2 linked regions of the Kluyveromyces lactis genome follow. The protein of the gene in region 1 purifies or fractionates together with the protein of each later gene. This does not show direct contact. Links are inferred from orthologs where the notes say so. Each region holds a gene or a part of one and is shown on either strand. Other genes may lie near its edges. The genes, in order: CDC34 and MET30.

Region 1 (2,977 bases):
TGAAGAAAATTCGAAATTATTATAGTGATCTTGTAAAGATGTTAGATTGAAATGTGTTGTTTAGTGATTTATCATCAGTCCGAACAAGTTTACGAGATTGATGCATGATTAAACGGGAAAGAAAAGAAATGAAGGATGCATAGTTGTCAAGACAATTCACATAATTAGAACTCATTTCCAAGGAACTTTCTAAAGTTCGAATTCATACCATTTGAAAATCTTTCAGGCATTTCCTCCTTTGTCTTTCTTACAACCCCCTTATATCTCATATCCTGATGGAGGTCCAAAACCAGAAAAAACATTCCATAGATATTGCACACAGCACCGGCTAGGGTTACTGTCATCGAAAAGTGTTATTAAGTTATTAGTTACTTGATGCATCGTTAGTTGTTCACTTTCCAATATAATATCTGAGGGGCTGAAATGTAGATTCAGCGTTATGGTGAATTGAAAAAGGACAGTTTCCAGTTTTATGTTTGGTTATGACAATCATCATTTAGAGGTGCGAATGCTCCAAACAAAATCAATAAAGACGTTGAAGTTGTTACAGGTTCATGAATTTATACTGGAGGTCAAAATAGTATATCACTACAGTAGTAACCAAACTTCAACGTGTGTTTATAATTGTATATTGAAGTAGAAAGACAAGACAGTAGTGAGGAAAGAAATGTGAATGAATGTGATACGCTGAGAAGCACTGCTTCTGAGGGAATAAAAAAGTTGTAAGGGATTCATATCATTTCATTTCTGCATCTTCTAACTCCTCGCTTTCTTCCATTAATTTACTTCTTCTATCCATTACGCTTTCATCTAGAGAATCTTCTGCTTCTTCAGGCACCAGATCTTCATCTTCATCTGAGTCGATATCGTTTTTGTTAGCTTTTTTGCTGAAATTCAAGTTTGAAGAATCTTTGCTGAAAACATCGTCATTATCCTCTTCATCTTCTGAATCCTCGTATGCATAGATATCCACATCTTCATCACCTTCGTCACTGTCGTACCAGAAATTATCGGCAACGGTTTCTTTGATGGTGTCAATACCTTCATTTGCCTTTCTTTGGGAAACATACGCCTTTGTTGATTCTGGCATCACGAACCCTTGCGGGATATCCTGTTTTGATCTTTCCACTTCGAGTTTTACCTTTTGTTTGTACTGATCCGGATTCTTCTTGTAGTCAACAGCAGCGTCGACGTTAGCTGGAGAGGAAATATTTGGATCTTCTAACAAGGAGACAATAGAAATCAACACTGATTCCACAGTCTGTACTGGAGACCAAGTTTCTTCATCGGGCTCATCCGAGGTGGGGTTCCCCGATTGGTGTAAGATAGAAATACACAACCTACCATCACGGTAAACGTTCGGGTGGTAAATTGCTGGAGTAAATCTAAAAGTTGGAGGAGAAAATGGGAAATCGTCCGGGAATTTCATTTGAGCCTTGAAATAACCTCCGTGGTAGATGGATTCCTCATTTAAGACCATTACACCGATGTTCCACAAGAATATGTTTGAATCATCTTCTAATGCAATATGGAAACTAGGAATAGCCTTCTTCGGATCAGTGAGTTCCCTGTATTGTCGTAATAACAAAGAAGCTGCAGTATTCTTGCCGCTCATACTTTAGAAAGAGTATTTCTATGGTAAAAAGATGTTCTGTGTGCTGATTGAAACTTCCCCCTTTTTCCAAAACTGATATATCCAGACCAAGAAAGTTCAGTTATTAGGGCTGACGATTAGAAGTAACTGTTGCTTGGTGTTCCTCAGTGATAAGATATCTCCGAGTAAATTTGACAATAATATGTTGCTAGAACTTAACAAAAACGTTAGGAAGAGAAAGAAAAAAGTAATGAAACGTAAAGCCAAACAAAAGATAGGACAATACAATATACCAACTGAGTAGTGTGAGTTTTTGCGTTTGTACAAGTATACCCGCCCAAAAGTCTATGCAACCTCTCCTTATCACCTGTTTATTGATACTCTCATTTAAATGCAAATACAATAATTTGTAATTAAAATTAATAGTTGTCTGTGTTTTGACCTTTTAAATTTCTTCTGAAACTGGTTTACAAAAAAGAACCAAGCTGAATGCCGAAAAGTCAAGAAAAACCGTCCCAAGACAAAATAAGCAAAAACCGTTGGGTTGTGTACTCTTGGAAGATACCGTTCTATTGTTCAGGTTGGGGGTTTAATCGATATTTATACTATAGCTATATGTCTCTATATTTTTTACCGTCTTGTAAGCTTTTCGTCCCCAGGCATTATTCATGTTGATTTGCACAACCAGGTATGCGTTAATAATCCATGGATGAAAGTAACAGTATTTAAGGCATCAACATTTACGCATGAATGTTTATTTTCCAATTGATGGGGAATGCGGGGGCCAATTACATCAATTTTTTCGAATGTATCTAATGCATCCGGCAAAATATCACTTCTACCGCATCGTTGTGAGAGCGTGCATTTTAACTGATAAGCTGAACACTAGGATTAAATGTGAATCGGAGAACTCTGGTAGTCAGTTGTTACGTTCAAGATTCTTATTTATACTCTAGACTAGTTCTTCATCGGGCAGTAGTATATTCTGCTCGGCGTCAGCAAACGTTAGACTCGCCGCTTTCACCGATAGGAACAGTGGAAAAGTTCACGTGACCTTAGGTCACGTGAACACCAATCACCATCTCCTTCTTTTCTCATTCTCGTAAGGTTTTCCGAACTGAGCCATAGGGCAATAACGCTCATCAAGTCTGAATCGTACCATTTTGAACTATACAGCACTTCACCATAGCTCAACAGGCCTAATTCCCTTACATATTCACCTCAAGGTGGATGTTTTGCTGAGATCCTGCCGTCCTCACATTCGGAACGTTATAAGATTTGTATCTCGCGACGGCGTGTTGGAGTTGCAACTCGATGCTATATGTTTTCTCGTCTGCGCGCTTTTCTTTGTGTGCCGAAATTTGTTTTCGTCCAAAGTACTTT
Region 2 (4,167 bases), on another chromosome or scaffold:
CAGTTTGGGACTTGTAAGCTTCAGGTCCAGGTCCCTGTTGCCGGAGAGTATACTTCACCAGAACAATTAATTGGTAAGACAATCGTTTCCAGTTTTGTGAATTTGACTAAAAAATACTTCGCACAATTGGAAGGTGTGCCTGAATCCGAAATGGTCACTAGGGTCAAATACGTTGGTGGATCCGTGGAAGCATCTTGTGCTTTAGGTGTTGCTGACGCTATCGTAGATTTAGTCGAATCTGGAGAAACCATGCGCGCTGCTGGGTTGACCGCTATTGCAACTGTATTGGATACAAGTGCACATCTAATCGAATCCAAAAATCCAAAGGGAGATGTTGAACTTCTCAGAACTATAAAATCAAGAATAGAAGGTGTCATGACTGCTCAAAAGTACGTCAGTTGTAGTTATAACGCTCCTGAGAACAAATTACCTGAACTTTTAAAAATTACTCCAGGAAGGAGAGCACCAACCATCTCTCAAATCAACGACAGTGGATGGGTAGCGGTTTCATCCATGATCGAAAGGAAAAACAAAGGTGATATTATGGATGACTTGAAAAAAAACGGTGCAGAAGATATCATGGTATTCGAAATTTCTAACTGTCGTGTCTAAAATGATTAGCACTTTTCCTCACCATAATTATATATATAAAATCTTATGCATGGGCACCTTATTGTATCCTTGTGTATAATGTAAGTTAATATAGATAAATTGATACAGCAAAAATTGTGACAATAGCAATATATTGCATGTTGTAGACAATATTTGAAGTCAGCATAGTAGGTATTTGACTCCTGCCTTTCAGCCCTGCATGATCGAACCAGTGTCCGTTCTTACTGATTGTCTTCGATTCTGTCTCTGTCGTTGTGGCAATTTTGATCACGTGAATGAACGAGAAAAATCCAGATAGCTTACCTCACCAGAGACACCGCTGGAAAGAACCAGAGATGAACACAGAAAAGCGCATAATGACCGAATGCACAGTAGCAGGTTACACTATACATATATAATGACTGATTTTCAAGGGAAAATGTGCCATGTTATATTCTTGGCTTTTAGTCAGATCAAAACATGGAATATCCTTGTAATAAGCCAGATAACCTGTAAAGTGTGGCTTACCTACCCTAGCAGTACAAACATATCTTTTTTTCCCATAAAGATAGTAAGAACGGATTTTAGCTAGTACTGAAATTTAGCGCAGAGAAAAAAAGTAAAAATATCGAAACTTAAACAAAACTCTTGACTGACAAAGGACTTCTTCAAAAGGAAAAACACTGCCAAAGTAAGACTTCTTAATCCTTAAAGGGGCGTCTCACTTCCCGATCTACCAATAGTTTGTTTGATTTATATAAAGCATCATATTTGTTGTATTAAGCGGTTTGGAAATTTTCAGAACAAACGAAAGATCAGCAGCGGAGAGAGCTCAGATAGGGAAGAACAACAAGTTTCGGTAAAGAAAGGTACTAGTGCTCATCATTGGTGGTGTTCTTATAGAATTTTCCTGTGAATCAAGGAAAGGAATTATATCCTTGTGGATAAGAGACATAAACGAAGGGTTTTGCAGTACTGCATCACTTTGATCACTGGTTCTGGTATATTTACAAAAGTTTGAGGAACAGAATAAACATTTTGGAAAGAGAACGCTAGGGAAGTTGTTTTGAGTCAATATACCCCATCATTTTATCTCATCAATATATTCAAATATACCATACGAGTTACGATCGTATTTCAAAATGGAGTTTAACCTTCAACAGACATGCAGACCGGATTTAAAGCGTAAGTTCGAAGATGTAGATTCGAATGGAGTGTCAGATCAACGACAGGATACTGATGGGAAGGGGGAAATTCTACGAAACAAAGCTTCCAAGGTCAATCAAAACAATGAGGAAATACAGCTTCCGAGTGAAATGCCTCAGTTCAATTTCTTTAAATTCTGCTACCGTCATAATCCAGATATTCAACACACTTGTAAGGATTCGATGGTTTTCCAAGATCAGGTACGGTCGGAGAAGTGGATGGAGAAAATGAAAGCTTTGGACAAGGAATCAGACCGAGCAATTATCAAACAAACGCTAGACAATTTCCAGCATAGCAATGATAAGATACGAAGATTAATGCTGGAAGGAATATTACAGCTTTGTTGTTTTCCCCAGCTATCTTATATTGCTGATGAGGTAAAACAATTGATTAAGATCGATTTCATTTCAACCTTACCAGAGGAACTTTCTTTGAAAATTTTAGGTTACCTTGACTGTCAGTCTCTTTGCATCGCCTCGCTAACATGTAAGAGGTGGAAAACACTAGCTGATGACGATAGGGTATGGTACCATATGTGCGAACAGCATATTGATAGAAAATGTCCAAACTGTGGATGGGGTCTACCCTTACTCCATATGAAGAGGGCAAGATACTTACCTGTAAATGAAGCACATGTCCATAATCAAAACGGCAATCAATTCCAAAATGTTGCAAACGGCAACGGGAATGAAATTGGAGGCGGAAAGTCACTAATCAATCCTGGCAACTCTCCCAACCAAACTGTTGCCGCTAGGGCTAGGAATAGCAGGTACTATACGAGACCCTGGAAAGTAATATATAGGGAACGGTTCCAAGTGGAATCCAATTGGAGAAATGGAAGATGTAGAATTCAGCTCTTCAAAGGCCATATGGATGGGGTATTGTCATTAAAGTTCAACCACAGACTGCTTTTCACTGGGTCATACGATTCAACGGTGGCTATATGGGACACAAAATCTGGTAATTTGATTAGAAGACTCACCGGGCACACGGATGGTGTGAAGGGTATTTATTTTGATGATCAGAAAATGATCACAGCTTCTTTAGACAAGACAATCAGAGTATGGAACTACATTACAGGGTCCTGTATATCAACTTATAGAGGCCACCAGGATTCTGTGCTATCGGTGGATTCATACAAAAAAATCATTGTGAGTGCTTCTGCTGATAAAACAGTTAAAGTGTGGCATGTTGAATCTAGGACTTGTTATACGTTGCGGGGCCATACGGAATGGGTCAACTGTGTTAAACTACATCCAAAAAGTTTCACTTGTTACAGTTCCAGTGACGACAAAACATTAAGAATGTGGGATATCCGTACTAATTCGTGTATTAAAGTTTTCAGAGGACATGTTGGTCAAGTGCAAAAAGTTATTCCATTAACGATCAAAGACACAGAAAATTTAGTGGTGGATGAAAAAATTGAAAAAGTACCCAACCCAGAGTTAGAAGAAGATTTTGCAGATGACTGTACAGGAATATTCGATCCGAATTTGAAATACCCTACACATTTGCTTTCATGTTCATTGGATAACACCATCAAACTCTGGGAAGTCAGTTCAGGTAGATGCATTAGAACTCAATTTGGACATGTTGAAGGTGTTTGGGATATCGCTGCTGATAACTTCAGAATTGTCAGTGGCTCTCACGATAAGAGCATCAAAGTTTGGGATCTTCAAAATGGTAAATGCATACAAACTTTTACAGGACACAAGGCTCCTATTGTATGTGTAGGAATTGGTGACAGTTCATTTGTTAGCGGAGACGAGCTGGGCGAAGTGAAAATGTGGCATTTTGATGATATTTGAGAGCCCTGTCGTAGAACCATTGGCATTGTTGCACCGATTACACTATAGCTAATGGTACAGAAGTGAAGGAACAATTGTGTTCAACATCTTCAAAACTAGCATAACTAAATACAAAAGTTTATATTGTAACTTATTTCTAGTCTCAACTGCTGCCTAAATACAGAGGCCACATAATGCCATTCTTTTTCGAACGAATACATTACTCAACGATCAGTTTCTGAAAGTTTTATCGTGCTCGGAACAATGTTTAAAATCAATGTACCTACCTGGCTTCATTAACCCCGAAACCATCAACGTTAAAAAGTCAAATGTCGAGCATGCGAAGTTGTGGAATTCGTCATTTAATTCGACCGTCGTATATGCGCGGAATCTAATTATAAGATCGCACCATAATGATTAAGATGATGAGCCTCGTTGAAACGTAACAGCGCACCGTTTTCTTCTTCGAAAGCCAAACTAACACATCTTCCATTTTTCATTGTCAACATGACCGTCTTTTGGTTTCCAGATTCTCACCAAACAGCTTAGAAAATATCGTAGTAGAGAAATGTGACTGGGAATC

Evidence for each region.
Region 2: the proteins of CDC34 (region 1) and MET30 purify together in Saccharomyces cerevisiae (affinity purification with mass spectrometry; 3 studies listed by BioGRID, with this or other methods). This does not show direct contact. The link is inferred for Kluyveromyces lactis from reciprocal best matches to the Saccharomyces cerevisiae genes CDC34 and MET30.

What each region holds. Positions count from the first base shown.
Region 1 is NC_006040.1:771,433-774,409, reverse strand, and holds CDC34 (SCF E2 ubiquitin-protein ligase catalytic subunit CDC34), read right to left. Parts: upstream 1,616-2,977; coding exon 737-1,615; downstream 1-736. UniProt on the Saccharomyces cerevisiae protein: Catalyzes the covalent attachment of ubiquitin to other proteins. Capable, in vitro, to ubiquitinate histone H2A. Mediates the initiation of DNA replication (transition of G1 to S phase in cell cycle).
Region 2 is NC_006042.1:2,544,800-2,548,966, forward strand, and holds MET30 (ubiquitin-binding SDF ubiquitin ligase complex subunit MET30), read left to right. Parts: upstream 1-1,733; coding exon 1,734-3,605; downstream 3,606-4,167. Other genes in the region: HIS1 (ATP phosphoribosyltransferase), read left to right, coding at 1-612. UniProt on the Saccharomyces cerevisiae protein: Substrate-recognition component of the SCF(Met30) complex, an E3 ubiquitin ligase complex that mediates the ubiquitination and subsequent proteasomal degradation of target proteins. Negatively regulates sulfur amino acids biosynthesis genes expression.